Linked DNA regions of Nothobranchius furzeri. The protein of the gene in region 3 binds, or shares a complex with, the protein of the main gene of each other region. Links are inferred from orthologs where the notes say so. Each region holds a gene or a part of one and is shown on either strand. Other genes may lie near its edges.

Region 1 (10,214 bases), on a different chromosome or scaffold from region 3:
GGTTCCTTATATAGGAAACATTATTTCTGATTGGCTTAATGAACTGACCTGAATTGGAATATTTATTATGTGAAGTGCCTTGAGACGACTTGTCGTGATTTGGCGCTATATAAATAAACTTGAATTGTTTTGAGCCTAGTTGCGGGGACTAGAAGCATATGGTGACTCTCTGAGCGGAGCAAACGACTAGGTATATATGGCTGTAGCAAGTCATAAAAATTCTGGTGCCATCTCATTCAATGCCTTAAAAACCAATAAAATAATTTTTAAACGCACTCTAAAAACGACCGGTAACCAGGATGGGTGTCCCATGATCATATTTCCTTTTCCCTTCTAGGAATCTTGCCGCGGCGTTTTGCACAAGCAGCAGACGAGCTACTGTACTCTGTCTCACCCCAATTAAGACAGAGTTACAGTAAGAGGTGATAAACGCATGCACAACAGTTTCGAGGTCCTTTCTAATTAAAAATGACTTCACTTTGGCCAGACGTCGCAAGTGGTAAAAACAGGACGATACAACCGCACCCACATGTGCGTCAAAGGTGAAAGCGTTATCTAATGTCACTCCTAAGTTGACTGCCGAAGAACGTAGGTAGGCATTCATATCCCTACAATCCAGTTTTGATCGCTCTAAATCACGATGTAACCCAAACAGCACCGCCTCAGTTTTGCTTTCATTCAGACATAAAAATTGTCCGTCAACCATGACTTTACTTCAGTTAGACCGTGCATTAAGGTAACAATGGCACAGTCGCTTCTATAATCCAAGGGTAAGTAAAGTTGGCAATCGTCAGCATACATATGAAATCGAATTCCATACTTCCTCATGTCCCCCAGTGGCAATATGTAAATCAAAAACAGTAGTGGTCCTAATATTGAACCCTGTGGGACCCCCCCCACTGCATGTGTGTGAATCCAGAAATAAACCCACCCATCCTTACACTTACAGCCCTATCCTTCAAATAAGATCCGAACCAGTCTAAGGCCAGACCAGAGATTCTGACATTATACTCCAAACGATGGAGCAACACTTCGTGGTCCACAGTGTCGAACGCAGCTGTAAGGTCCAACAAAACAAGTAGCACAGGATTTCCCCTATCAGTTTCCAACATAATGTCATTTAATACCTTTATCAGTGCCGTTTCCATACTATGAAAAGCTTTAAAGTCAGACTGAAAAGTTTCCTTAATGTTAGACTCTTCTAGGAAATCCATTAACTGAGTATAGACACTTTTTTCCAGAATTTCACTCAGAAGAGGGAGCTTTGCAATCGGCCGGTAATTGCAAGGCTGCATACCATCTAACTCCGATCTCTTTAACAGTGGGTTAATAACCATCTTTTTAAAATCAATTGGGACATAGCCAGAGGCCAAACTGCTATTAATAACTTTCAATATTAATGGTGCTATTCCATGAAAGACTTCCTTAAACAGCCGTGGTGGTGTGATGTCTTCAGGAGATCCACTCGGTTTAATTACGTCCACCAACTTAACTAAGTCATCCAGGGATACTGGCTGAAAAGACTCTAAATGTTTATCCAAAGTAAATGAGGGAGTTTGCATGTTTGCTCTTGACCGTGCAGAACGCAACGATGCCACCAAGAAAACTAGTACACATGTCGTCTGATAGCATAAAGCATCCGGAAACATAATAGACTGTTTATACTAGTTAAAAAAAACTCCTCTTATTACCTTCATTTGTAATTTTAAAGTCGTAAAGGGAGAAAAAGTTTAAATTTAAATAGTTTATTATGATTTCTTTCATCCTGCTGTTTTAATCTTCTGGTTGTTTCTGTCGTCGCTGCGGCTGTGTGCGGAGCTGCTCTCTGCGCTCGGTGCTGATGAAGAAGCGTAGTTTCCTTGGCAACAGACTGATCTCTACAGGCATGGCCTCATACTCCTCATTATCAATACTGTAGAAGCCAGAGGCTCCCTGCAGAGGCATCACACAGAAATCCACCTTCACACTAAAACTCACATGCTGACTTTGAAACTACAACAAGGATTCCTCACCTCTGGCAGCTTTATCCGGCAAGCACTTGCTTCCAGCTCCATGTGGTTTTCTGTGAATACAGTTGGGTCTTTTTGCTTCTTACTCCTAGGAGAAAGACAGCACTAACTTTAATGCAAGTAAAAGCAAACATTTAACTGATTTTAAGGCCTCTGAAGCATAAAAGAATAATCAAAGAGGAGCTAGTGACCCTGCAGCGATGAACTCGCCAACGGTGAAGTTGTTGGGCTCCGCGCAGATCAACAGAGAGTCGTTTATGCGCTACAAATACAAACAAACACATGGACAAAGATGAGATCTGATGGTAAACAGAGTATGTAGCAGCAAGGCTTTTGAAGATCACTGACCCGCTCCACTGGGTTTTTGTTGTGGGTTTGAATATAAAGCTCCAATGTAGACAGCTGCTGCTCTTCCCACTTCTCTGGCTCTTCCACTTTAGGAGGTTCTGAGCAAAGAAAAGACCAAAAACAAAGATTAAAATAAGATTGTTGTGTTCTAGTGCTGGACTTTCAGAATAGTAACAAACACTCACCTTTAACCGGCGGGTTCCAGTAGTTCTTCAGTCTGCAGACGATGCGGCGAAGCAGGTTCGGCCTGGCGGGCTTCTGAGAGGGCAGGTCAGGGGGCCGCGGCGTGGGAGCCAGATAGAAAATGGACACGTCTCGGACCAGAGGCCACTCCTAGACAATATTTATGAAAATTACCCAAGTTTATGATTTACAGGAACATAAAATATCTAAGGCTCATCTACAATATGTGAAATAGTGATTCAGTGCTCCGATGATCAGAAAAATACTGAAAAACTGACATATTTCCTTAGAAAATAACCAAAACATTGACTTTACACATGTACATTAAAAGAAAAGCTACACCAGTGAGATGACATTGCAAAATCAAGTTTATATTCCTTTGTGCAGATTAGCCTGCAGGATCTTTCTCACCTTCAGAGTGTGAAGCCAGTGTGCTGCATTTGCCTTCAGTGGTCCAAGATACCAATATCTGTGTGGGCCAAATACAACTGTAAGACGGTCTCATCAAATATGAAATACACAATCTTTGTCACCATCTGGGTGAATTTACTTGCTAATTCTTGCAGCTACATCTCTAAAAGCACCCCAACGCAATCCAACCAGAGCAAAGACGGGCTGCTCTTTCTCTCCCTGCAGACAAACACAAATGCAACACATCCATCATATGACTTCGGTACACTTGTATAGTTAATGAACCCCTGAAATCGGCATCGGAGACATGATTGTTATGCTATTCTGTGTAAACCATCTCTTACTTTGATTTGTAGCACATCCAGAGGAACCGTTTCTCCTTTCAGAATGGACAGTGTGGCTGATGTGATATTCCTGAATATTCAACACAATGTAAAACTCACACAAGGAAATCCATTCGTCAAACGAAAGGCCATAAATACATGATATCACATACTTGTCTCAGCTATTCAGGCTTTTTTACTCGTATTACTTACTTGACTTTGTCGTCACTGAGAAAATGAAGACTTGGACTTAAGGAATTATTAGAACCCAGAGGAATGAATCCGATTGGTGTGTTACTGAAGGTTTCCTGTTGTCAAAAATAAACCTGTTGTGCACTTTCTACTTGATAATAGCTTTTAATAAAGGTGTAACACAACATAACAGATAACCAGAATTATGCTACACTTGCTTGATCCGGTCTTCGCAGTAAACCTGTGACGACCTCCTGTAACGTCCCATCTCCTCCAGCCACGATCAACATGTCTGTCAGTTCCATGAGCTCCAACAGTTTCTTTGCTTGACCTTCATAGTCTGTCTGTGGAAAAAGACTGGTGTAACACTCGGTTTATGCCAATCCTTATGATCAATGGTTCATTTATTTATACCTTGACTACTGTAATTTCCACTCCAGCCAGGTGTAAAATGGGGGCAGCATTCTTTTCAAACAAGCTGTTGGCTTTCCTGAAAACATTTGGGGAAAGGGAAAGTGTTTGTTTTGGGAAAGACTGTGCTGATAATACAGATATGTGACTTTTATAAGTTTTTACCCATTAGATGCTGCAGGATTCAAAATCACTGTTGCTTTTTTCAGACCTTCGTGTGGTGCTATTTGCTGACGTCCAAATTCCTAAGTAATGATACTTAGAATTACAATTAAAATGAAGTAAACTGCTATTTTGATTCTAATTGTTTTGAGGGCAATAAAAAATGAAGTTATACTTTACCCTGGCAATTTGACAAGCCTCTCTGCGCACAACGCTTTCACTAAAATACAAGGTACAAGATTTTTGAGTGGCAAACAAACTTAATGCGAGTAAAAAAATCTAATAAACTCACCAGTGTTTACCATACAGCCAATATCCACCATAAGAAAGGACGCACACAGCTAATGTTGATTTTTTCCAGTGATTTCGAAGAGTCCGAAACACTTTTACTACCCGAGCCATAACACTTCAGAGACCCCTGTCTTATTAATGTACAGAATTTATAGTGGAACAAATAACTGAAAATCACAAATTTCTACCAGAGCGGTCACAGAATAATGCTGCATGGAAATAGTGGTGTTACGTTTAAAGAGTACGGAGCAAAACAAGGCGGAACTATTTCTGACCTTTCTGACGGAGAATGTAATGGGTAATATGTTTTAGCAAAAATCTAGTGTTGAACTAAATAAACATATCATATTATTTGAAGAAAGAAAATCAACCATTAAGTAAATTTAAATTATTTCTCAAATATTTTTTCAGGCTACGCAAGAAAAGTTTACTTCCGGTAGCTTCAACTTTCGAGGACCTCGCCTGATAATTTTATACTAAAACCACATTTTAAAGAAATTACTATGACTTATTAAGTGACTATATTTTACATTTGACGTTTATTTTTAATAGCTGAGAAAATATATTTTGGAACTTTTCATAAAGTATTTATTATTTTTTGCATTTCACACCGGCAATAACTTAACAGCTGCTGTCCAAAACGGTCTGTGTGGATCATGGCGGCGCCGATGGCGGTAAATTCAGGTAATAATTCTTATTTCTGAGCATTTTTATGCTGAGAGACGTTTTTTATCAATATACCCTGAATCATAACACACGTATAAAGACATACGTGTTAAATCTTGTGAGTAGCTTATTGGTATTTAGTAGTTTTAATTGCACAGTTGATCTTTTTAGGTTATGACACGGGCTGTTAGGCTACTTTAGCCTAGCCTTACTCATGGCTGAAAAACGTTGCATTAGCTTGTTTTGGTTGTAGACACATTGACCAGACCTCACTTCTACAACAAAATACGCGAAAATATATGAATTGCACATTTAGAAATTATATATATATATATCAACCATATATAAATATGTCCCTACAATTGTTAGCGGGTTCAGTTGACGTATTTGCCCACTACTTGGAAATAAAACTGAAACTACAAAAGTTGATGATTGTTTTCGTCAGTGAGGAGTAAATAAATGATGTTGGTCACATTAATATGCTACCATTGTGAGTGCGCGCGTTAACTCATCGTGTAGATTTTTTGCGCATTTTATGTGAAAGTAATTTCATCACTTTTGCAAGGCTAGGCTATCTGTCTGTCTGTCTGTCTAATGTTGCGAACGAGTACGGTTATAAGAAACTTGCACGCAGAAATCCATGTTTTTTGCCTGCATATATTATAAACTAATTCGTTCAGGAGCCAGTCTGTGGGGGCCACTGAAGGAGCTATGGGAGACAGTAGATGGAGCTATACTGAAGAGACAGCCAGAAACTGTCCACCTTCTGGATCTGCAACTGAAGAAACACAAACCACATTTTATGTCACTCTTTAAGAATGTGGTGAGATAACAGCTCTCTTGTTGAAGTTATTCAAATTAAATGTTTGAGAAATGTTCTTTTAACCTTTACATTTGTTGTTGTTACCCAATGTATAGATTTATATTGAGACATAGCTTTTTCAAACACATGATTTTCCCAATATTTTTAGCCAAAGAGTGCAGAGCAGAGGGAAAAAGTACGCAAGGCCAGCACAGAAGGCATCGCCATTCAAGGACATCAGGGTTCACGTCTTCTTCCAGAGACGCTCCTGACGGAGGCCTTTATCCTCAGTGATCTGTTTGACATTGGAGAGTTAGCAGCTTTGGAGCTTCTCTTGGCAGGTAGAGTGATCTCTTAAAAACCAGCTTATAAGTTACATTTTTGAAGGGAAATTTGTGACTGCATAATTTTGGTAGAAATGCAGAAACAGTCACATTACCTGTTACTAAATATTATTTTTTTAATCAAGTGTGTGATTTGGAAGGAAAGATGAAGGCAGTCATGAAATAATTAACAGAGTGTACTTTTTTGTTCCACCAGGTCAACAACAACAGCCCCATTTTCCAGGCCTGACACGAGGCCTAGTGGCTGTCTTGCTCTACTGGGATGGAAGGCTTTGTGTGGCCAACTCTCTGCGCACACTCATTCAGTCACGGCATGGCAAGACCTTCACCCTGGATTTAAAGTAACAATTTTAAATATTGGTAATTTTACAAAGTGATGGGTTCTTTCAAAGGCCCATCTGATGGAATTGTTTTGTCAGCAAGAAGGAAAAATGTTTCTTTAACTTGTGTACTGTTTTTTGCCTCCTCGCTCAGTGACGAGCTGGTGGCTTTGACAACACGCTTTACAGATGAGTTGATGAGTCGAGGACTAACAAAACGCATCCTTGCCTTGGTGTCAGAAATAAATGTGACACAGGAGTTTGAACGTCTGCAGAAAGAGCGTGGTTTGGGCAATGAAAAGCACAGGAAGGAGGTAGGAGCAAGTATTAAATTGATCTTATTTTATCTTAAGTCGAAGCTTATTTGAGGAAATAATGCCAAACGCAATTTTCTTCCCACTTTTGTCACCAGGTCTCTGACTTGATCAGAGAATGTCGACAGGCACTAGCAGACAGCTTGTTTTGTTGGACTTGTCAGTCACCCTTGACTAAAGATGACACCTTGGCTCTTATTGGTCATTTGGAGACAGTTACAGCTCAAGCTGATGGTTCATTGGACAGTGTGAGCCTGGCTCTAGTTATGGCGCTGCTGTACTGCTTGGACGTCAGCTTTATAGAGCAGGGAACTGAAGATCGAGAAGGTGAGTTCATGTCAAATGCTTCATTTTGTTGAAGATACTTGAAGTCCTTTAGTTAGAGTTCTTATGAAGATGCCTGCTGATGTTTTGCCAGGATATTTTGACAGAAATTGACAGATTTGACCTTTTCCCTTCCAGATCTTCTCCAGGCACTGCCATTGCTCACAGAGCGGCAGTATGTGTCTGCGGTGCACACTCGTCTAATGGACGGACAACCATGGAAGCTTCCAGGGCTGCAGGCTGTGTGTCGACTGGCTTGGGCTCTGTCTCTGAGAGTCCTTTCACAGCTGCCACAAGGCTCAGGTAAGTTTTATACTTCTTACAGCAGTAGCTCAGGAGGTAGAGCGGCTTGTCCAGTAGTCGGGTTCGAAGTCGGCTCTGACCAGAGAATTCTGCTGTTGTCCTCGGTAGGGCTGGGCTGTAAATCCAAAAATTATCGTTATCAAAGATTGTGACTCGTGATCATTTTTCCCACGTCAATAAATGTGATAATAAAAAAATGAAAAGATGTGTGTTGACTGGCAGCATTCGTGTCCCTTTAAGAAGCTGTGTTGCCTTGAGCCCCACCTTGTGGACAACTTTAGTTTCTGCGCATACCTGTAGTCATCGTCCATTCATCGTTATCGAGGTGAAATCCTGATACTGACTTTAGGCCACATCGTCCAGCCCTAGTCCTTGGGCAAGACACTTAACCCACGTTGCCTGCTGGTGGTGGTCGGAGGGACCGGTGGCGCCTCTGTCAGTGCGCCCCAGGGCAGCTGTGGCTACATCGTAGCTCATCCCCGCCAGCGTGTGAACGGGTGAATGACTGATTGTGTTGTGAAGCACCTTGGGGGGTTGCAGAACCCTAGAAGGCGCTATGCAAATACAGTCCACCTGCACCCAGAGCTTGTTTTGGGTTTAATTTGAATGTGTGTGTCTGCAGGCCTCGTTGAGTTCACCGAAGCAGACGAGTCTCTGGCTGATCAGGCTCTGCTAGGAGACGTCTTCCTCTTTATGAAGGAAGGAATGTTGGGATGTGAGGGTTTTGTCCAGGAAGAGTTTTATATCCGCCGCCTCCATTCACTCATCACAGACTTCCTGGCCCTCATGCCAGTGAAGGTTAGAGGTTTCAACAGTGACATCATAGATTGTTGTCATCACGGAGGTTTGAATCATGCTTTAACAATCGCTTTAAACTGCAGGTGAAGCAGCTTCGTAATCGAGCCGACGAGGATGCCCGCCTGGTGCACATGTCCCTACAGATGGACGGTGAACTCCCGTCATCGTTGCGGAAGGATTTAGATCATCTCATGGTTCTGGTCAGTCGTCTTATCTAGCAAGTGTTGAGGATAGACTTAAGGAGCTGCAGCAAAGATGCAAGAAGTGAAACCTTTCTGTTGTTTGCGTTTGGAGTTTAAGCTTGTTGTGTTTGCTGTGTGTGGTTTCAGATCGGGGAGTTTTACAGTAACGATCCGTTTGGCTTGGAGCTGGGTTTGGAGTTCTGGTGTCCCACAGAGTCTCTCCAACACACCTCGCTGCAGGGGTCCTACCTGGGAATGGCCCTGCAGCGGCCTCCTCATAAACAGGTTGAACTTTCCTGACCTACAGAATTCGAGACAGCTGCACCATGACGCACTTTTGTGTGACTTTCTTTGTAAAGTGTTGTTGTTTTCAAATGCAGGTGGTTCTGTCCAAGTTTGTGCGTCAGATGGGAGACCTCCTGCCCTCCACCCTGTACCTTTCTTATCTCTGCATGCTGAAAGGCCTCGCTAATGGTCCACAGTGCGCTCATTACTGCTTCAGTCTTCTTAAAACAAACGGAGCTACACACAGTAAGAATGAACTGTTCTTCATGTAAACACATCACAGTATTTAGAGGAACAGTTATTTAGTAGAAATCCAAAAGGTCCATTTTTACAATAAAATAATCATTTTTATGATTTATTAAAATGAGTTTAGGCGACTTTAGTCCGATAATCGTCCTGAAACCGCTTGCTCTTAAACGCGTGAAGAATGGCTAAACGGGTTTGAGGTTAGCAGACTCTGGGCGCTGCTGTTGCTAAAGCTAAAAATCCTTGTGAATGTCTGCTAACCCTAACCCTACTCTGCTGTAGGCGACAACATCCAAGGAGTGTCGGGCAGCCCGGTGTCCTGGGAGCATTTTTTCCACTCCCTCATGCTTTACCACGAAAACCTGCGACGGGATCTCCCTAATGCAGACTCCTCCCACTACCGCCACCCGCCTCTCAGGGGCATCACACAGAGAGAGCTTGAAGGGCTGACTTCCTTTCTGCAGTTACTCACCACCATCATTTCCTGGGTACCGTACAACATGTGGTCATATTTTTAAAAGCTAACATAAAAGCAAAGTTTAAAAACTCTTATTATGTTTTTCTCTCAGAGTGAGAATGCTCGTCTGGCCTTGTGTGAACATCCCCAGTGGACCCCGGTGGTGGTGATGTTGGGGCTGCTGCAGTGCAGCATTCCACCCGTTTTAAAAGCTGAGCTCCTTCGGTCCCTGGCAGCCTTCGGGAAGTCACCAGAGATCGCCGCTTCCCTGTGGCAGTCGCTGGAGTACACCCAGGTAGAACCGAACCGTCTTCCACAGGGATGGAAAACGGTTCCTGGAGCCCTGAGATGAAACACACACACACACACACACACACACACACACACACACACACACACACACACACACACACACACACACACACACACACACACACACACACACACACACACACACACACACACACACACACACACACACACACACACACACACACACACACACACACACACACACGAGAAACCAAGCTTTAGGTTGCTTTAAGTATTTTTCTGTAAGAATTTTTATTTGTTTTTTGCTCTAGATCCTTCAGACAGTTCGAGCGCCGGGTCAGAGGCAGGCAGCAGGAATTGAGGTGGGTGTTTTTATTGTTGATGACAGATTTTCAATAAGAAATACTATTTGAATAATTATTACTTGATAAAAATGTAAAATCAGCTTTACTTGAGGGAGGTTTTTGGGGTTTTGTTAGATTTTTAACAGCTTCATTATAAACATTTATTATTATTTAGTTCTAAATCTTCCTTTTAACTAGACGGGACAGGTGACGGCAGTGTGTGTTT
Region 2 (10,214 bases), on a different chromosome or scaffold from region 3:
ATAGGGAGCTTAGGTCTCCTGCCTTTACGGTCGGCTCATGGGTCCCAGAAGAACAAAAAAAAGAATGCAAGTCAACGGGGCTAAAAGAGCTATTTTCAATACCACTTTGCCTTAGTCCCTGGATCACACATATGTTGTACTGCAACTTACATGAAAACTAATGATGGGTGTTTCAACCACATCTGTCGGGTACTTTGACATTTATCAGCTTGTAAAAGTTCGTAATTAGCTCGACTACATCGGCACGTCGCATATATGACGTCACCACAGAATCTCCTCTCCCCTAGCATAGCTGCCACACGGCCATATTTATGGTTCTTTCCTCCTGAAGGAAAGATTTGAAGTTTGCTGAACTTACAGGCATTTTCCTTCTGTTTTTCTCTGGGTCTGGCTCAATGAAGTGCAAGCACATTTGTAGTCCTGGACTTCTTTTCACACAAAATCTAAAATAACATGTATAAAGGGACTTGACTTTTGAATTTTTATGCTCGCGATTGCCCCCTCAGGCCAAAAGCGTAACAGCAGCTTCAATAGTAGGCTTGTGCACGAGGCGCGCATGCTGTACGTGCACACTCCTTAACGAAAATAACAGCTGAGACAGCCCTGTGTGTGTGTGTGTGGCCCGGAGGACAGGAGAACGCGCAGCTAATTAATTAAATAATTTGGTTCTGTACCTTTCTCTTCAGCACAGTCGACAAAGGTTTATGATGGGTCAGTCCTCCTGCATGCTCAGATCATTCCCTTCCCTTGCTTGAAAAATTGTTCCAAAATGAAAGTTGAACCCACATCTTTTTTATCTGTGAATTCAATGCCGTTCGGCGAGTCTCAAATAAAAATTTGGGCATCTTACTGTAAAAAATATACCATTAATGTAAAAAAGAAACTCTAAATAAACTATGTTCACATCCAGAATCAAACCCAGGTCTTCTGCATGGCAGTCAGACATTTTACAAGGTGAGCTACACTCTAGTAACATTCACAGTATCTGTAACTTTTATATCCTTGATGTCACCTAAAACAACATCAAACCAACGAACGGTTCGGAGCGAAAATGGCTATTTTGTTGCTAATTTGCAGGAAATATCTAGAAGGAAGTTCTACAGAAAGTAGCTAAGGGTCCTCAGAAATGTAGCTAGCTTTGTCACTAGGCGTTAGGAACAGCGACAAAGTCGCTGAGTTGGCACTGCCTCTCTCTCTGCTGCTAAAGCTACTGATAGCAAATGCTACGTGCTATGCCTGAGCGTGAACGCGCATGAAGCAGCCTGCTTGACCCGAGCATCTCTCTTTTTCTGTGATTTTACAGAAAAAGGCAATCACAGTAAAAATGCCAGGGCTCATTCTACAGGACCAGGGCATTGCTGGAGAATTTATGAAGAAAACATTTATTATTTCTATACATGTTTTGGCTGTCAAACTTCCATATAGTCCCTTTAAAAATAAGTGCTTTCTTGGTATCAAAATGTGTTTTTAAAATTGACAAACATCGTATGGGAAATCCATGGAACATAACAAGCAGAATTAGAAAATTGCGTTTTTAGCATCATTCATGGGCGTGACTTAGGCTCCCTGTTCACATAAAAAACTGGGGTCTCAGATTTTGCAACAAAAATGCTTAGAGTGTGACCTGTGTTTGCACTCACTTGTTTTTACAAGTTCAATTACAGCTCAAGTAGACTACAGGACAATATGACCATAAGAACGGTTATTGTCCACAACCGTTATTCAAAAGAATGCTTTTTGGCAAAGATGACAAAGATTTAAGTAACTACTGGGTTGGTGTGCCTATGAATGTTCTTTTCATTGCATTGAATTTTTTGCTAAAAACGAAGTGGTGTGAGCCAAGTTTATTTCCTAGACGGATGGGGGCGTGGGGGGGGGGGGGGGGGGATTTAGGGTTTAATAAAAAAGCCGGCTTCGTGTGTTCAGGGCCTAAGTGATCAAAGTGAGAGTCATCTGATAACAATTAAATATGAACAGATAGGGAATCTGATGTGTAGCTCACCTGTTTAACCTGGTCTGACTCAGACACCTGGGCTGCCATGTTTCACACTCTGGAGGAGAATCACACAGAATATTAGAATCTCTTTAAATGTCACCACTTTATGAAACAGATACACTTATGGACTACTCTTTCACATGAGTTTACATATATACATATACATATACACATATATATATATATATACATATATGTATGTATATATATATATATATATATATATATATATATATATACATACATATATTCATATACATATATATACACATATATACATACATATATATATATATATATATATATACACACACACACACACACACACACACACAGGCCACTTTATTGGGTACACCTTGCTAGTACTGGGTTGGACCCCCTTTTTTCCTTCAGAACTGCCTTAATCCTTTATGGCATAGATTTGACAAGGTACTGGAAACATTCCTTAGATTTTGGTCCATATGGACACAAAATTTGACCCATTCCCTGGGGGAGCAGTGAGCTGCAGACACAGCCGTGCTCAGGAACCATTTGGTGGTGTAACCCCCCAATCCAACCCCTTAATGCTGAGTGTCAAGCAGGGAGGCATTGGGTTCCATTTTTTCAAAGTCTTTGGTATGACCGGACCAGGAATCGAACCCTGATCTCCCAGTGTCAGGGCGGACACTCTGCCACTAGGCCACTGAGCTGGTCCTAAAGGAATGGACATGATCAGCAACAATACTCGGGTAGGTTGTGGCGTTGCAACAATGATCAATTAGAACTAAGGGGCCCAAAATGTGCCAAGAAAATGTCCCCCACACCATTACACCACCACCACCAGCCTGAACCGTTGATACAAGGCAGGATGGACCCATGCTTTCATGTTGTTAACTCCAAATTCTGACCCTACCATCCGAATGTTGCAGAAGAGATAAAGACTCATCAGACCAAGAAACATTTTTCCAATCTTCGGTTGTCCAATTTTGGTGAGCCTGTGTGAATTGTAGCCTCACTTCTTGTTCATAGCTGACAGGAGTGGCACCCGGTGTGGTCTTCTGCTGCTGCAGCCCATCTGCCTCAAGGTTTTACGTGTTGTGCATTCAGAGTTGCTCTTCTGCATATTTTGGTTGGAACGAGTGGTTATTTTAGTTACTGTTGCCTTTCTATCGGCTTGAACCGGTCTGGTCATTCTCCTCTGACCTCTGGCATCATCAAGGCATTTTTGCACAGAGAACTGGATGTTTTCCCTTTTTCAGACCATTCCCTGTAAACCAGGGGTGTCAAATATGCGGCCCACGGGCCGGATCCAGCCCGCAAGCGGGTTAAATCCGGCCCGCAAGATGGTTGTGTAAACTTTATTTTCATACTTTACAATGTAGAGTGAAAATAAACTTATCTTTGTGAGCAAGTTTTCTCTGTAGCGAGTATAAATAAAACAAAGCTGCGCTCAAGGCTCACACAAGAACTTGAATCACATCCTGAAGTTGGCCACCACTCAGGATGTGACTTCTGATATTGATGTTCTGGTGAAAGTTAAAAGATGTAAAGTAAAATGAGTCAAATATACTTTAAGTGCTGCATGAAACTGATCTAGCCATGTGATCTGTAAGCTCTGAACCACTAAGGAATGTTTTTTTATTTGTTGATTTTTTTTTTTTCAAATTTTCAAGTACACTTCAGGTGTCGTACTTGTACTATTTTGGATACACTGTCCTCAGGCTCCAGCCTTGTTTTGTATTGATTGTATTAAAACAAAGAAAACAATCTGAAGTTGTTTTTAATTTACCGGTCCGGCCCACTTGGGACTAGATTTCTCGCAATGTACCCCCTGAGCTAAAATGAGTTTGACACCCCTGCTGTAAACCCTAGAGATGGTTGTGTGTGACAAACCCAGAAGATGAGCTGTTTCAACTTCATGACAACCGTGCCACATTCAGAGTCACTTAAATCTCCTTTCTTCCCTGTTCTGAAGCTCGATTTGAACTGCAGCAGATCGTCTTGACCATGTCGACATGCCTAAATGCAGTGAGTTGCCACCATGTGATTGGCTGATAATAATTTGTGTTAATTAGCAGTGTACTCAATAAAGTGGCCAGTGAGTATATATATATATATATATATATATATATATATATATATATATATATATATATATATATATATATATATATAAAGTGGCCAGTGAGTATGTATATGAGAGAGAGATGTGGTTCTAATAAACGTAAAATAAAGGTTATATAAACCATTAGCTCAGCTATATTAGCGGAGCTTGTGGTAATAGAGTAGTTATAACCTCGTCCGGGTCTGCACGGTCTAGCGTGAACTAAAGCTGATGAAAAGTGATCACCCTTAAATTGGTGTTATGAGCCCTAATCCCACCAGCTACAGTTCGTTGATAATTTGTTTTTGATCAACAACGCGGATAAACCGGGATAAACCAAGGACGCATGTCAGACGTGTTTCCTGTCTCTAAGCTAAACACCCCCATATATTTATTTGTAGGCCTCAGTCCAGGACACGCTCGTAACTTTGTATTTCTACACATTTAATGCGTAAGTCACGCTGGTGTGTTTAAACCTTACCTGCTGAGTGGGTGATATGCTACGGCTTCTCCACCGTGTGCAATGTCGAAACAACCCTGAACCATCGCCCTGAACAGAAAAAGATAACAGCAGCAGATTCGATACAACCTAAATTAATTAATTCATGCACAAATATGATTTTAACTCTTCGGTTGAGCAGGTAAATTTTATTTATTTATTTATTTTTGTTCCTGTTTTTATACTTACAATGCTCAGATCCTAAAGTGTACAATTTGAGACAAATTGTAACGAAAGTGTCGACTTAAATGTGTTAGGGTTGTTGAGGTAAACCATTTTCGCCCCCTAACGAGCTGGAGGGTACAATGCCAGATAAAAGGCATTAGGCAGGACAGCTGTACTCAGCCATTTGTTTTATTTATAAAAAGAAAATGGTATCTATCTATCTATCTATCTATCTATCTATCTATCTATCTATCTATCTATCTATCTATCTATCTATCTATCTATCTATCTAAGCAACTGAGAAAAACGAATATTTTAGCACAAAAGTAGCACGACACCGAAAAAAATCATAAATAATGCTTGGTTCTGGGTTTGATCTTGTTCTGCTAAATGCACCAGCACTTTGTTTACAGTTTTTCTCAGTTGCTTTGGTGCATTTCTCACAACAGAATTAAACTTTGCACAACAGTTAGTTCAACCTCCACAACATGTAGTCGTTTTGGCACAACCTAGTGGCAGTTTCATGTTCATGTTCATTCTTGGTAAAACACATTGTAGAGTATGTTTTGTAGAATTGCTAGTGTACTGCACGAAACTACAAAGTACTGTAAAGCAGTTTACAGTGCTGAACATAGAAGACCTGCTTTACCTGCACATACTGGTGACGGATCTCCTTCACCCTTTCACAGTTTCATTCGAATGCCACTTTATACAATTGCTTCATGCGGATTTCATTTTTTTTTTTGAGAACTCTGTCGATTGTTGAAATGGAAACAGATTCAATATTGCCAAATACCGTGTTATTCTCTAAGACAGTGCTTTGCATTTCTCTCAACTTTATTGCATTGTTTGCAATGACCATTGCACAAATGGCTTCATCTTGCTGTGGAGTAAAAAGGGGCCCTCTTCCACCTCCGCGAGGTTGTCTTTCAATCCTATGTGGTGCAGAGTAAAATTACAGTAAAATTGAAAATACAGTACAGTAACATGAGATATGTATGAGATGGGACAGTACAGTACAGTAAATTACTGTATGCATACCTGTTTTCCCTACGGAATGTTTGAATGACTGAACTGACAGTAGTTCTTCCAATATTGGGTTGCACCCTTCGACCAGCCTCCTCCATGGTGAGGCCGTGATTGACAACATGGCCCACAATTGTAGCCCTAATTTCATTAGGAATGTGCTTATATCTGCCTCTTCTCCCCCTTCCCCTTCCCCTTCCTCCCCGCATCCTCACCCCTCTTCCACGATGCTGACCTTCCATTTTGTGTCACAGAAGTGTAGAAATGGTACACACTAGCTCCTGCTCAGTTCACATATGCTTGCCAATGGAGGATTCACCTCCTCATGAGTGACAGCTGAAATTCACCTGTGATCAATTGTTCAATTTAGGAGACATTTCCAGGAAAAAATGATGAAGAAAGGTATAGAATTTGCTTGACAGATTACTAATATTTGACATTTGATAACTAGTTCAACAATTTTGTGTGTAATGACTCAAGTAATGAAAGTAAGACTATTAGTTTTATTGAGAGTGACTATTCAGCATCCATAAGTATAATTAATTTTGACTGACATGACATAAGCAAATGGAAATGTCAAAAAACAGCAGAGAAATGTATGAAAGCAACTGATTCATGTCCAAAATCATTTGCAGTTTGTTCAGAGAAAGGAGAAATTGCAACTATGACGTGCACAAATGACTAAATGTTGTGGAGGTTGAACTAATAGTTATGAGAATTTTAATTCTGATCTGAGAAACGCACCAAAGCGACTGAGAAAAACTGTAATATTTGACCGAAACTGTTCACAGCCTTGTGCAACTGGGTAAATAAAGTAAAACAAACATTTTACAGCAAACATAAACTCACTCAGACAGTAAACCTTACTGCAGTAGTTATGAAACAAAAAAAAAAACTGAACAGACACAGCTGCAAATCAATAATTGATATCTAGATGCTCCCGTCTGTCTGCCCACATATTTTCATCAACATCACAGGGAATGTCAGCTCTATCGATGCATCGGGGAAAGTAACTTCTGGAGTGTCGAATCCACCCTCTGCAGCACTCTGCTGTGATGTCATCACAAGCTGCATCCATGGCTGCTAGCAGGGTCATTTGGGCATGTGGATGCCTGTCATATACCTTCCACCTCCAGGAAGAGGAAAAACTCCTCAATTGGATTTAGGAATGGAGTGTAAGGAGGAAGAAACTCCATAAGCATCATGTCGTGTGCTGCAAACCACTGCCTGACTACAGCAGAGTGATAGAAGCTAGCATTATCCCAAACCACTACATACATTGTCCGATTGTCACCAGGACACACACCAATTTTCATTAGTATGAGATAAAGTTCACCTGAGAAATGTCATTTATGGAGATTTCCATGGAAATTCCTTAAAAATAGGGTTTTCAAAATGGGTGTACAGATTGTTCGACAAGATGTTCAACAGTTTTTAGTGCAATGACACAAGCAATGAAATGAAGACTATTAGTTGTAAGGACAATGACTATTCAGCCGGTACAAGTATAAATAATTGTGACATTCATGATAAAAGCAAGGAGACAGTGATGAATAGCAAGTCAAAAGTGACCATTCTTTAGATATTTGTACTTACTCAACTGCTTCATGTCCAAAGGCATTTGCCACAAAATGAACATGAAACCGCCACTAGGTTGTGCCACAACGACTACATGTTGTGGAGGTTGAACTAACTGTTGTGCAAAGTTTAATTCTGTTGTGAGAAATGCACCAAAGCAACTGAGGAAAACTGTAAGAAGCTTTATTTCTGGAATTTATTTATTATCATTGTCATTAAATTGAAGTTGGACAGATGACTTGAAAATTCAAAGTTAAGGACTTGGACTTCCACATCATTGACATTGGACTCGACTTGGTTGTGATTAACTTGGACTTGACTCGAGACTTGACTGGAAAGACTTGTGACTATATTTGTTGTTTTTGTTTCTGATGTTAATAAGGAATGTTCATTCTGTCATAGTGAAGGTGAAAGTATTGGACATTTTTTTGTTGAATGCTTTTGGTTGGATTTACAAGGGCTTCTTACCACTAAAATTGGTAAAGACATTACACTCACAAAAATTCATATATTATTTTGTTTCCATAGTTCTTTTTTATCTACAGAAGAAATATATGTTGAAAATGTGTTTATTATATTAGCCAAATACTATCTACATGAATCAAAATGGAGAATTATATCTCCGTCGTTTACTAACTTCAAAGAATCCGATCTGAATATTTATTTTGTTTTTATTGCTTATGGCAATGTAAACAATCAGAAATATTGGAAAACCTTAAATTCTCTTAAGACATTTCATTTTATTTTATAAGCAGATTTTATTGTGTGTTATTTTTTTAAATAATTTTATGATTGTGTTTTTCAATTTTCATTTGTTGATTTTACTCCATAATTCTTTTATTCGTTTTTGAACGTTCTGAGAGTTTACTTGTACAACGTTTGTTTGTTCAACAAAGTAAAAATAAATAAACAAATAAATAATAATAATAATAAAAATAAAAAATAGAATTATCATTCCAATAGGTGGCGGTAATGCGCCAAAATCTCGCTCAACTGCCTCAAATGAAGAAGGCGAAGAAGAAGAAGGCGGAAATATCAGTAGAAAAAAAAGGCAGAAGCAGAAAGTTCAAATAGTGGTTGGTGTTATACTTTAAACATTCGGAGTTTTTACCTGTATCTTGTTGGTTTAATATTACCTAATGGTTTTCCGTGACTCGACCTTTATAAGTTTGATTTTTAGCGCTGACTTTTTCTATCCTGCTTCTTATTTCAGTGAAAAGATGCTGAGACGAGAAGTTTGAGACGTAATTAGCCGCCGGGCAACAGATGACAGAATAAATATGAATAAAGCTGTCGGTCACATCCATGTTGTCAGCGATTTTTAGTCCGGATCACGCGTCCTACAGCCCGGATAGCCTGTGTACCGCACCAGTGGGATCCCCAGCTTGGTTGGATGGAGCGCCCTCCGCGTGGAGAAGCGGGTTCTCGGTCTGACAAACGTAAAGAGAATGTTCCAGAAGCGGCAGCGACCCCAAACAGCGGGGCCGGTTCTGACCGGGGTATGCACTTAAAATCCATCACTCAGTTTCCATGGTAACCAAACACCGTAAACGTGCTCAGATGCGATAGACACAAGATTCTTGTAAAAGTTGATCTTTTGACTTTATAGAACTTAAATTAAGATTTCATGAACATTTGATCCATGATGAACATTTGTATTTATTTACTTAAGCAGAAAAACGGGTTGTGATGAAAGGGCTGTCCTCAGGAGGGCGCTGGAGCTGCATCTGGACTAAAATACCACTGGGCACTTTTCTATCATCTGCAATAACAAGTGGATATCAAACCACGAAGAATGCAACACCCACCCAACCTTCTTAGACTCCAATGAGGAGCCACTCAGTGTTTTTAAAGGATCTGCAAACTTTCAGGGTTTTCATTCAGAAAACCCAAAACAAGCATCAATAACAAAGCCGGGTCCATGTGGGATTCAGGGATTACACTTCCTTTGATGCACCTGGAGATGGAAAATCATCAAACACAAACAAGACCGGGAGGAAAACCAGCACTTTTCCACTGTTAGTGGTTATGTTAAGCTTCTTGTCAAGTCAAAGAGCAGGAATATGGAGGCGATGATTTCTACGTGTGCAGGGTCCTTTCGAGGCAACAAAACCTGTTTTTTGAAGAATTTAGAGGAAGTGTTTCTATTAAGTAACTCTTATAGATCCAGCGCCTCCTTCTCTTACACGTCCTCCTTAATATTAAAATTCCCAAGAGGACAAAAAGAAAATCTAAGATTTTTTAAAAGCTTCAGTAAGAGAAGGCGGCTAAAATATTCCCTTCTAACTGGTTAAAATGAACAAAAGTGCTGAATCAGCTTTCAGACATTGGAGGTTGCCAGTACATGGCAAAGACACAGTACAAGCAACCATGCATGCACATTCACACCTAAGGACATTTTAGAGAAAGCAACGTGACAGTCGTGCTTTTGGACTGTGCGAGGAAGTCGGAGTACCCGGAGAGAACCCGTGCGTGCACAGGGAGGACATGCAAACTCCTTGCAGAGAGACCAAGGTCTAGGACCTCCTTGCTGCAAGGCCTCCCGTCATCCCTTTTTTTCTAAATGCTGTTGGAAATCAGTGTTATTCTATTTTTTTTGCCAGCAGATGACACCTTCTTTCAAGGCAATAAAACTGGAAGTATAGAGGAGGTGTTTCCACTAGTGGATGCTGATGGTTTTATTAAATTCTTGGGATTATACGTCATTTGTCCTCTGCTTCCTTCATTAGCATCGTCAGGGCAGGAGCTGTTGACGCTGTGCTTTAGGACTGGAGGAAGAGGAGCGGGTCTGGGAGCGCTGAGACAATGGTGAGGCGATGATTCATGTTCAGTGACCTTCAGGTTCAGGTCTTCTGAGAGTGTGAGAA
Region 3 (10,214 bases):
ATACAAAACTAAAGATATATATATATATATATATATATATATATATATATATATATATATATATATATATATATATATATCATTCTAAGGGTATGTGGAGTGACAAAATGGCGTTGAATGTGTTTATGAATCTCCTAATCAAAGCTTAGCTCAAGACATCACCTTCATTCCCACCAGAACTAATCGTTTCTTCGGATTTGCTGGTTCTGAACACATTCAACACTACACCATTCTCCGTTTCATTCATCTTAGTTACACCATACATTTAGTGTTTAAGTTAAGTCTAGTTTTAATTTGTTTAGTAATAAATCTTTAAACTTTTAAAACTTGACTCTCTCCTCTGTTGTCTCTGAATTAATGCGAAGTGGTTACATAATCCCTGCAATAAAAAGTTCGAATCTTCGGGTCAAAAAGTACCCACAGATCCATAAGGTTGATTTCATATTTACTATGGAATCGTATGTCTTATGGCTCATTAAATAACATGTAAATTAAACCATTATAAGTGTTTTAAAAAACAAAAACAAATTGAGTATTTTTTTAAACAACACATCAATTTAGCTCATGTCAATGGTCATCTAATCAGCCAAACAATTCATCATAGTCAGGTTCCTTTAGGAGCATTTTCCCCTGTTCAATAGGAGAGATTTAAGCGGCACCTGATGCAGAATGAGTCAGACTGACAACTTAAGTGTTAAATTAGGTCAGAAAGTCATTACTATGATACAAACAGAAGACGACTCATCAGAGTAGTATTGTGTTTTTGACCAATCAGACTAAAGATGCACAGGATCAGTCCAAATGTGGTTACCTCACCCCATCCTGATTCAGCTCATCCACTGATAACACTAAGAAGGTAAAGGAGTTCCTTCTGCTCTCTCTGCTGTTTTCAGGACATCAGATATTTCTAAGAGTCTGGCTCCATATTGGAATGGGACCTTGAATTCCAGTTACAGTGATATTCTGTCACACACACATTCCTTTCATTGAGGAGAGCAGAAATTTTCTATCTACCACCAAATGCCATTCCACATCACACAACTGGACCCAGGTACTCTCCACTTAGCCAGTGTGTACAACCAAAACAAACATGGAGTCATAAGAGATCAGTAATTGGTTAATTTTAAAATCATGACAGAAAAAAAAATCGCAGCGGTATCGTAGACAGTATTAAAGACCTCTAAACCAGAGATAACGTTTCAATTGTTTTGTCAACTCCCCCTTCTAGTTACTCGCATATTGCAGCTTGCAAGCGCGTTGCGTTAATTTTAGAAGACTTGCACAATCTACGCTTAAAAAAAAGAAGCTAATTACACAAGGCAGCCACAATAAACACGCGTACACCACATGATTAAATTCAAGGATATTCCAGCCCTAATACCAACAGCCAAACATGGTGGCGGTATAGTGTGATGGTCTGAGGCTGCTTTGCTGCTTCAGGACCTGGATCACTTTCTGTAAATACTTGGAAAAAATGTAGCCATTGATCTTAAACAGATGTGAAAAGGACCCCCCACCCCCACCTCTTAATGTGTCTGCATTAAATCAATCCTACAGACAAATGAGCCACATGTCCTTTATGAAAGACCAATGATCACAAACGCTTGACTGCAGTTGTTGCTCCCAAGATGGGGAAATCAGTTCTAGAGTCTAGTGGGCCATTCCCATCTGTACCGGGTCGGCCCGGGCCGGGTAGCGTAGGTTGTTTACATATCTGGGTGGCCTGGTATTTTTCCGGGCCAACCAAGGCTCATTCTCAGCCCTCTTCTCGAGGGGGTCTGCTTCAGGCCGACCAGGGCCAACACACCCACTGCTGACAGCAAATTCACACCTTCCATTAGAGCAAGCCTCTGATTGGTGGGTAGAATCAGCCCACATGGGCTTAAGGCAAGGATGTGTGGAATCAACCGGGCCAGGCTGGGGCCGACTGGGGCTACCCGGCCCGGGCCGACCCGGTACAGATGGGAATGGCCCATAGGGTCCTTTCTCCCTATTAATGCACAAAATCATCATTTGAAACTGCATTTGTTGTAAATCTGGTCATCTTTGACAGAAATCAACATTTGAGTGCATCAAAACAAACAAACAAACCCCAACACACAAATAATATATGTAACATTCACTATCAGTGTTTGATGTAATGACAGGTAACGCTGAAGGCTGCGTGGCGGGAGTAGAATCACTTTTTGTTGCTTAGTCAGGACAGCTTGTCTTAATGACGCATTTAAGGACCTATTAAAGACAGAAACTATAAAATGTTAGCCACACTAACCACAGCACCTTGTTTCGCCACATCACAACGAAACTGCTCTACTTGGGAAGAATTGGCAGCCTGAACATGGCACACACCAGGTTTACATCAAACCTAACACAGCACATCTAATCTCATCAGTTATTAAAATCTAAAAGTGAAGTCTGCCTGAATAAAAGCTTTTTAAAGAAAACTTAAAAGATTTTAAAGTTTTAATTTGACTAAAATCTTTAGTGAACTTTTAACCTGGTAACGATGTTATATAATAAAACTGTGAACTCTAAAATAAACATAAAAATATCGCAGCAGAAATATAAGAAGTTCTACACTCTTTTATCAGAATCTTGCAATAATAAAACCACTTCCTTGAGGCACTTAGGCTTCGCACATAAAGAAACTTAAATTTGAATCGATTAGGTTGGATTAGATCAAACATCAAGTATTATGATAATTATCTGTAATCATGTAAAATTGAAAATAATCCCCTGGAGGTGCATATTTAAAACACTTTCTGTTGCTGAACATCACATGTTCTGTTTTAGTGAAAGCTGCACTGTGTCCTTGGGCAAATTCAGTGAAAGCTTCTGTAAAAACAGAGACGTGTCTGCGTCATAATTATCCAGGAAGTCCACTAATTAAGTAGAAACGTTAACGACGTAAACAAGCAAGCTGTCGACAGTCACTTTGGCTAAATCAACTCATCCCGACCAACTCCGGCCGCTTCCTCCATCGAGACAACACAAGCAGCATTGAAATTAAAGTAATGTGCTTCACGTCAACAAACTACAAAGAGGAAGTGTGGTAAAATAATAGAAATACACGAGTCTGTAGCCGGTAGCTCTACCTCACCTGTTCGCTAATGCGGCAGTCTTGATGTTGTGTGAAGATGCTGCTGCCGACTCGGCGAGTCATTGAAGTGTCACCATCTGCCTGTTGTGGAGCCAGTAGGTGGAGCGCTGCGCGCGTGCGGGCGCTTTGCACCAAAGTTCGAATGGAATTGTGGGAAATGTAGTCATGTAGTTGATGCACGGTTACACCAAATTACTATTGGTTTAAAATTGTGTTGTGTGTTATTATGTTTTTATTTTATTTATTTAACCTTTATTTATTCAGGTAAATTGTTTGAGAACTACTTCTCATTTACAAACATGACCTGGCGAACAGACTGCATACATAACAGAAATGGACATTTATGAAGTTATTATTGAAAACGTCAACAGTATACCTTTATATACATTTTAACGGAATCTTCCAATTAAAATTTAATGTTTGTGGTAACAATTAAAAGAAATAAATAAATAAAACTTGTGGACTCAGTTTTTAATTTAACGATTTGCAAAAAAATATCTTTTTCATTAAGTAAGATGTACTAGTCATAAATGTTACTTTTGGTGTTGCTAAACGTGTTAGATACATATTTATTCATTTAAACCATGATTCAAACGAAATATAATCACTTCCGCTCGCGGAGTAATGTGACGAATCAACAGACGCGTGGTTTTGGACTACACTTACCTAAAGCGGTGCCATTGAGAAATATGGCCGCGTCCACTGGTGGAACTAACGCTGCCTCTTTGGGCTCAAACAGCCCAGTTTCAGCCGATTCCACAATGGATAGTTCAACAATTCAGTACAGTATGGTTCTGGAACATCTTATAGGTGAAAAAAGGCAAATTAAAGACTTGAGCCCCGGTGTTATGGGGGGACTGCCGACGCCTCCGAAAAGCAACGAGCAGAAGATGATAGAGAAGGGCATGGAGAGCTGCGCCTTCAAGTCCATCCTGGCTTGTGTGGGAGGTAAACAACTACACATAAAATCGAGCTCAAACGTACAGTTTTCTTACGTTTAAGCTGATCACAATATTGTACAACTTTTTTTGAAGTTTTTTTCTATAGAAGCCATTTTTAGAATTAGAAATATTCAAACCTTTACCTCTCAGCTGGTTTTGATATGAATATCTATCTAATGGAATACAATAGACTTTCAGCAGCACATACACTTAGAGAAAAGGAAGAATATATATAATAAGGTTACAGGTAAACATACAAAGGAAACGAGCTATTATTGTAACCTTTAACCACTTAAAACAACGAATAAAAAGAAAACCTGGGTTTCCAGAACTGTGCAGCATAAGGGATACAGACATAATAATGTACATCAGGTATTGCACATTCACACATACTGAATATTGCATTTATGTTATTGTGTAACAGGATAATGCCAGTACCAGTTAAACGGTGGAGTTATACACTCTTACCGCAGAGGGGACGAACAACCCCCGGTAACGTTCTGTTTTATATCTTGAACGTCTCAGCCTTTCACTGCAGGAGCTGTCCATGGCCTCCACAGTGGAATGCAGTGGGTGGGAAGGGTTTTCCAAGATGGAGGTCATCTTCGCCAGCATCCTCCTTTCACACATTTTCTTAGTTGAATCTAGTTAGCAACCCAGAACGAAGCTAGCTTGTTAAGTCTCTTCCTGTCTCGATCAGAGCTGCCTGCACCCCAACAGACCATAGCAGAGGGGATCACAGAGCCAACAATAGAGCGATAAGGGAATGAACACCAAAGGACCTCAGCCTCCTCAGGAAGTGGAGGCGGTTTTGGCCCTTCTTATACAGAGCATCGGTGTTGTTGGAGCAGTTCAGTTCAGGTGAACACCCAGGTACTTAAAGGTATTTAAGGGATCACCACAGAGTGGTATGCTAAGGTTTTGCATTGTTGATTTTACACAATTTCCCACATTAGTCTTGTTTATTTGGGTTTTTATTGATACCCAATTATCTCCTAGCTCAAAGCTGTGCTATTTGTGTATGTTATTTATCCTAACGACAGTAAATGTTTGTACTTTCTAAACTGGATACTGATGCTTTATCTTTCCAGGGTTTGTCCTCGGTGGAGCATTTGGTGTTTTCACAGCTGGGATCGATACCAATGTTGGCTTTGACCCCAAAGACCCTCTGAGAACTCCAACAGCTCGAGAAGTCCTTAAAGACATGGGTCAGAGAGGGATGTCTTACGCCAAGAACTTTGCCATCGTTGGTGCCATGTTCTCCTGTACAGAGTGCATCATTGAATCAGTAAGTCACAGACATTATTCAGACTAACACTCATTTTATTGGCATTCAGTCACATAATAAACACTTAAAATCATATTGTGGTACAGAGGAAAACCCAGGGAATACTATGTTTCTCAACCTTGTCTTGGCTGAGGCTGCTTATGTCTGAAGGAAGGATGGTGAAGAGCTCAAGACAAAGGGATAAACCAGTTAAAAAACATTTATGATGTACCAAAATGTCAAAAAATATTACTGAAACTCTGGAAACCTTTGTTTATAAAACTTTTCCAGAGGCTGAACACTAGTGGGTTGATAAAACTAAATAAACATGTGCATAATACACATCCCAACCTTTCCAAAAACCTTTTATGTTGTAAGATTTTATTTATTTTTCCTTATAAAAAGAGATTTGTTTGTTTTGCTGTTTTCTAATACATCATTCACAGGTCTTACAGCGCCCTCTGCTGTTGAATATGTGAAAAACCAAATTATTAATAATAATAATAATAATAATAATAATAAAGCCCTTTATTGTCCCTCATTGGGGAAATTCTGGTGCACCAAGAGCAAAGTTACAAGTAAGTTAAGAAGAGAACAGATACACACACACACACACACACACACACATACTCACTCACTCACTCACTCACTCACTCACACACACACACACACACACACACACACACACACACACACACACACACACACACACACACACACACACACATATTCTGATGTCAGAATTGTGTGTACTGAAACTCTAACTTCCCTCTGGGATTAATAAAGTATTTTTGAATTTGAATTGAATAATATATATATATATATATATATATATATATATATATATATATATATATATATATATATATATATAGATAGATAGATAGATAGATAGATTGTAAATTATTTACAACAAGGATGTAGTAATGACACAAAAGTATTATATAAGATGTTATAATAGCAGCATGAGACTAGAGATGGAATAATGTACAATCATCCAATGTTGGACTCAGATTCTGTGTCACGGAGGCAAAACCTGAAAAGGGGTTATTGCTTCGATCAGTGTGCAAATAACAGCAGACAAATAACAAGAAAAACACTTAAGCAGGCTGTTGGGAGCAGTGTTGGTTATAAAGTCCAACAGCTGCTGGGAGGAAGGACCTGCGAGAACGCTCCTTTCTGCATTGAGGATGCAGCAGCCTGTCACTGAAGGAGCATAACTGGCATCATGCTGGTTCAAATGACCACTGGGGCCTCTCATCTGTTTCTGAGTGGTTTTTTGTGCCTCAAAAGCACAAGTACCTAACAGTTTTGTGTTTTATTTGCAGCACAGAGGCAAATCCGACTGGAAAAATGCAGTATACAGTGGTTGTGTAACTGGAGGAGCCATAGGATTTCGTGGTTTGTAGCCTGCTTTTGGGATATTTCATGCTGAAACTTGCTGTATTCATTTGAAAGTATTGTGAAATCTTTTGATCATATTTCTTTGCAGCTGGCCTGAAAGCTGGGGTCCTTGGATGTGGAGGCTTTGCTGCATTCTCTGCTGCCATCGAGTATTACCTACGATGAAAGCTGAAAAGGCAGCTTTAAGGACAAGGACTTTAATCACGAGGGCTCTTGTTGTGAGAGACCAAATGTACATAGAAGACATTAATGAGTGTTGTGAAAGAGATGCTGTTCACGGTGGACTGAAGTAAAGACTCCTTGTCTTTGTTTTATTTGGATAATCTCCAGATGCTGAACAGCCTGGATCAGATTGTGCTTCCAAGTCACCATGACAACCTCCACCTGGACAGCTACAGCTCTGAGTGGAGAACATCTGTATAATTTAGCAGAAATAAACCAGAATTTTTTTTATATTAAAGACCCACTCTAATGAAAATTGTGCATTTTTCTTATGCTTCAGGACATATCTAAAGAAATTTAAGTTCATAATTGCATTTCTGAGTATTTCTGCATTCAAATCACTGTGATTCAGTAACAGACAAAAAATTCAGTCTAATATTTACTGGCATTGTTACATCACAAAGCCACTGGGCAGACCTCAAACTCTTTAATGAGCTACTGCCACTATGTTGAAACTAAGTACTAGAAAATGGCGCAGGTTTTATGATTTTGGCTAAAAAAAAAACTTCCGTCCTTATCTGCAGGCAGCAGGGGACGATGTCCCCCTCTGCCGCTTACGACATCCTCATCAATGACCATGTCCAGTGTAAAAACTCCTTCCCTGTTTGTTGTCATGGGTCCACGTCTCCGTGTCGCTATCATATCCTTAATCCATCTTCTGTACTTCAGTTGTTCTGCGTTTGTGACGGTGATGCCATCCACACCGGCCCAAACCCAAAAACATTTAGGCAGTAAGAGAAACACCAATTTAATAACAAAACTGCTAAACTTTTCCCAAAACATATGTGAAAGAACAGAGTCAAAGAAAGATGCAATATATTTTGGCCGAGCGGGATTGCAGCATTTAACAAACTACTAACTTAAACAGCGACGTGATGCTGAGGATGGCTGATGCTGTTCCTGCAGGAGATGCGGTGCCCCGTTCAGCAAATATGTCAGTCCATAAAAAATCACAGCCAGGAGGAAAATTGGAACAAAAATGTGTTAAAACTAGAAAAATAAACGAAAATCAGATTTGTTCTAACATATTGAAGAGCTTGTGGCCGGCGTGCTCTAGTGATGTTCACCCTGAAGTGGAAAGCGGTCTATATGTGCTGCGTCCGTCATTGCTCCCTCAGCTGAACGTGTTTCTGGCTGGAAAAGAAGCACAGCTTCAGGGGGGAGTGGGGGGAGAGATGTGAGGTCTGAAGGGGAAAAGAATAAAAACGATGAGGGTTGTAATGGTGCCATCAGCTCATTCTTTGGCATTAGTGGTGTAGTGTTCAGGAACATAGCCATCAGCCTGTGGGCCCTGCCTGCTTTCCACCAGCTTCTCCTCAGAGGTGTTTTCCCTTCAGACACCGAGCCAATTAAATTACTAAGAAGTAGGCTGGAAAAACTCCTTTCTCCCTACAGAGTCTCTGTAGCAACAGAGGAGAGAAGCCTGCAGTTGACAGTAGAGCTACTGGGTATGGTTGGTGAGGTTTTTCAAAGCAGTGTAGCTGATAGTTGCCATGTCACCATCACTGTTTCTCTGAACCTGGACCTCCTCACCGTGCTCCTGTTTTCACTCCCTGACTGGCGTTTGCTTTGGTCTCACGAGCCACGTTTCATAAGACAGTGTTCACATGGCCCACCTCCCGGGACTCCCTTCTGTCCTTTTTCTCTGCACCCAGAGCCTTTCAAAAGTCAAAGTCATTTATTGTCATTTCTACCACATGTGCAAGACATACAGAGAAATGAAATTGAGTTTCAGTACACACAATTCAGAGATCAGACATACATGGGCAAGATACATGACAAGAATTGGTGACTGCGGTCATTGGCAACACGAGTCCCGCTACCTTACCTCAGCTTCGATATCAGTTTCTGGACTGGACCATCGTGGGAGGAGAAGAAGTTCTACGCAGCGATCCGAGAGGCCAGCTTAGGGACGGTGGAGCAGGTTCAACTCATGGACACGTTCTCACATCCTGACCTGAGCCAGACCAGTTACTGTTACAGACTCACCTACCACTCACACACACACACTCTGTCACACACACACACAAGCTCTGACGTTCCACAAACACCTGGAGCTTCTATTGTCCTCTCGACTGCAGGTCACCATCAGGTAGCATGTTGCAGAAGGTCCTCGTCCTCGGAGTGTTTGTGGCTGAAACGAATCATGATCAGAATGAAACTGTAATGAAATATTCACAGTAGTTGAAATTATCTGAAATATCAATAATCCTGTATGTGTCTGAGTTTAATCTTATAATAAAACTTATTAACCATTAATCTAATAAACCACAACATAAAAGTCACACTCAGTAGTTTAAAAACATACTGACAGGGTGAGTATTTTATAATAAACACCTGTTTTAAAGCTGACGGTCCTGGTATTAAAGAGCTGTTTAGCAGCAGAGCTGCATTACTGCCATCTTCTGGAGTTTTGACTGCATCCAGTCTACTTACTGGTCCTTGTTTCATCAATAACTTTAAAAATAACTTCTGAAATTCAGAAATAAAACTCTTAACAAAATGCACAAAAATAAGCATTAACATTAACAATACCTTTGTATACATTTTTCTGTCTAAATTTATTTTTAATTGGTTTATTTGTAATCAGCATTTGATTGAAGGGATTTATACGTAATTTTTCAGATCAACTGGGTAGAAGCCACATGGTTGAAACAAGCAAACCCTTATTGTCTGACTTTCACGATGAAGGATTTTTCCGCCCTCTTGCGGACAGAAGCTGTTACCACAGCGTTTATGTCAAGTTACTGTAAACAAGACGATCGGCACTTCCTGTAAATACTTTCAGAATAAAATATACTACTTTAAAATTTCTACAGTTTTTAAATTAGTAAACACCATATTTCATCTAGATCAGTTGTTCCGAACCGTTTACCATGAAGACCCCCGTACCAGTGTTGAAAACAAGCCAGGACCCCCCAACCCCATCTACAAATACACATCACAAGTGATTAGTTACAAACTGCACAGACATGCGGTGTTGTAACACCTATACAGATTTTTGATTACACTGTTGGGCGTGTAATTGGGATTTTAGAAAAGTAATTTTTTACAAATAATAAATAACCTTTGTAACCCAACAACCTCAGCACAGACACAGTTGTGGGGGCCCCTTTGGAGGGTCACGAACCCCAGGTTGGGAACCACTGGTCTAGATAATGGAAAACATTTTCTGTGAAAACTTTTCTTTTATACCAACTACGTAACTACTAAAACTCAATTATTTAAAAAGTCTTGGAGAGAGTTTTTCTCCACTGCTTTTGTAGTCCTAATAAGAATT

The links.
Region 1: timm22 (region 3) and agk share a complex: the UniProt entries of both Homo sapiens proteins name them as parts of the TIM22 complex. The link is inferred for Nothobranchius furzeri from reciprocal best matches to the Homo sapiens genes TIMM22 and AGK.
Region 2: the proteins of timm22 (region 3) and timm9 are in contact, whole or in part, in a cryo-EM structure (PDB 7CGP), measured with the Homo sapiens proteins. The link is inferred for Nothobranchius furzeri from reciprocal best matches to the Homo sapiens genes TIMM22 and TIMM9. Residues at the interface, in NP_037469.2 of Homo sapiens: Asp35, Arg37, Gln38, Pro39, Arg40, Leu42, Gly45, Ser46, Leu47, Gly49, Ile50, Ser52, Pro53, Lys60; in NP_001291414.1 of Homo sapiens: Gln13, Glu16, Phe17, Thr20, Leu57, Thr60, Gln61, Met65, Phe67, His71, Gln74, Asn75, Leu78, Lys81.

What each region holds. Positions count from the first base shown.
Region 1 is NC_091744.1:88,192,763-88,202,976, forward strand, and holds agk (acylglycerol kinase, mitochondrial), read right to left. Parts: upstream 4,945-10,214; 5' UTR 4,442-4,944; coding exon 4,332-4,441; intron 4,260-4,331; coding exon 4,220-4,259; intron 4,123-4,219; coding exon 4,043-4,122; intron 3,957-4,042; coding exon 3,881-3,956; intron 3,811-3,880; coding exon 3,685-3,810; intron 3,583-3,684; coding exon 3,488-3,582; intron 3,366-3,487; coding exon 3,296-3,365; intron 3,171-3,295; coding exon 3,091-3,170; intron 3,010-3,090; coding exon 2,952-3,009; intron 2,691-2,951; coding exon 2,543-2,690; intron 2,456-2,542; coding exon 2,358-2,455; intron 2,272-2,357; coding exon 2,201-2,271; intron 2,098-2,200; coding exon 2,013-2,097; intron 1,933-2,012; coding exon 1,774-1,932; 3' UTR 1,099-1,773; downstream 1-1,098. Other genes in the region: nuclear pore complex protein Nup205, read left to right, coding at 5,637-5,819, 5,968-6,139, 6,339-6,483, 6,617-6,776, 6,875-7,103, 7,239-7,403, 8,026-8,201, 8,285-8,401 and 5 more. UniProt on the Homo sapiens protein: Lipid kinase that can phosphorylate both monoacylglycerol and diacylglycerol to form lysophosphatidic acid (LPA) and phosphatidic acid (PA), respectively. Does not phosphorylate sphingosine. Phosphorylates ceramide.
Region 2 is NC_091758.1:18,277,181-18,287,394, forward strand, and holds the start of timm9 (mitochondrial import inner membrane translocase subunit Tim9), read right to left. Parts: upstream 4,702-10,214; 5' UTR 4,561-4,701; intron 2,052-4,560; 5' UTR 2,042-2,051; coding exon 2,003-2,041; intron 1-2,002. Other genes in the region: kiaa0586 (protein TALPID3), read left to right, coding at 8,741-8,846, 10,077-10,155. UniProt on the Homo sapiens protein: Mitochondrial intermembrane chaperone that participates in the import and insertion of multi-pass transmembrane proteins into the mitochondrial inner membrane.
Region 3 is NC_091750.1:52,843,565-52,853,778, forward strand, and holds timm22 (mitochondrial import inner membrane translocase subunit Tim22), read left to right. Parts: upstream 1-3,774; 5' UTR 3,775-3,789; coding exon 3,790-4,048; intron 4,049-5,132; coding exon 5,133-5,329; intron 5,330-6,636; coding exon 6,637-6,709; intron 6,710-6,800; coding exon 6,801-6,877; 3' UTR 6,878-7,190; downstream 7,191-10,214. UniProt on the Homo sapiens protein: Essential core component of the TIM22 complex, a complex that mediates the import and insertion of multi-pass transmembrane proteins into the mitochondrial inner membrane. In the TIM22 complex, it constitutes the voltage-activated and signal-gated channel.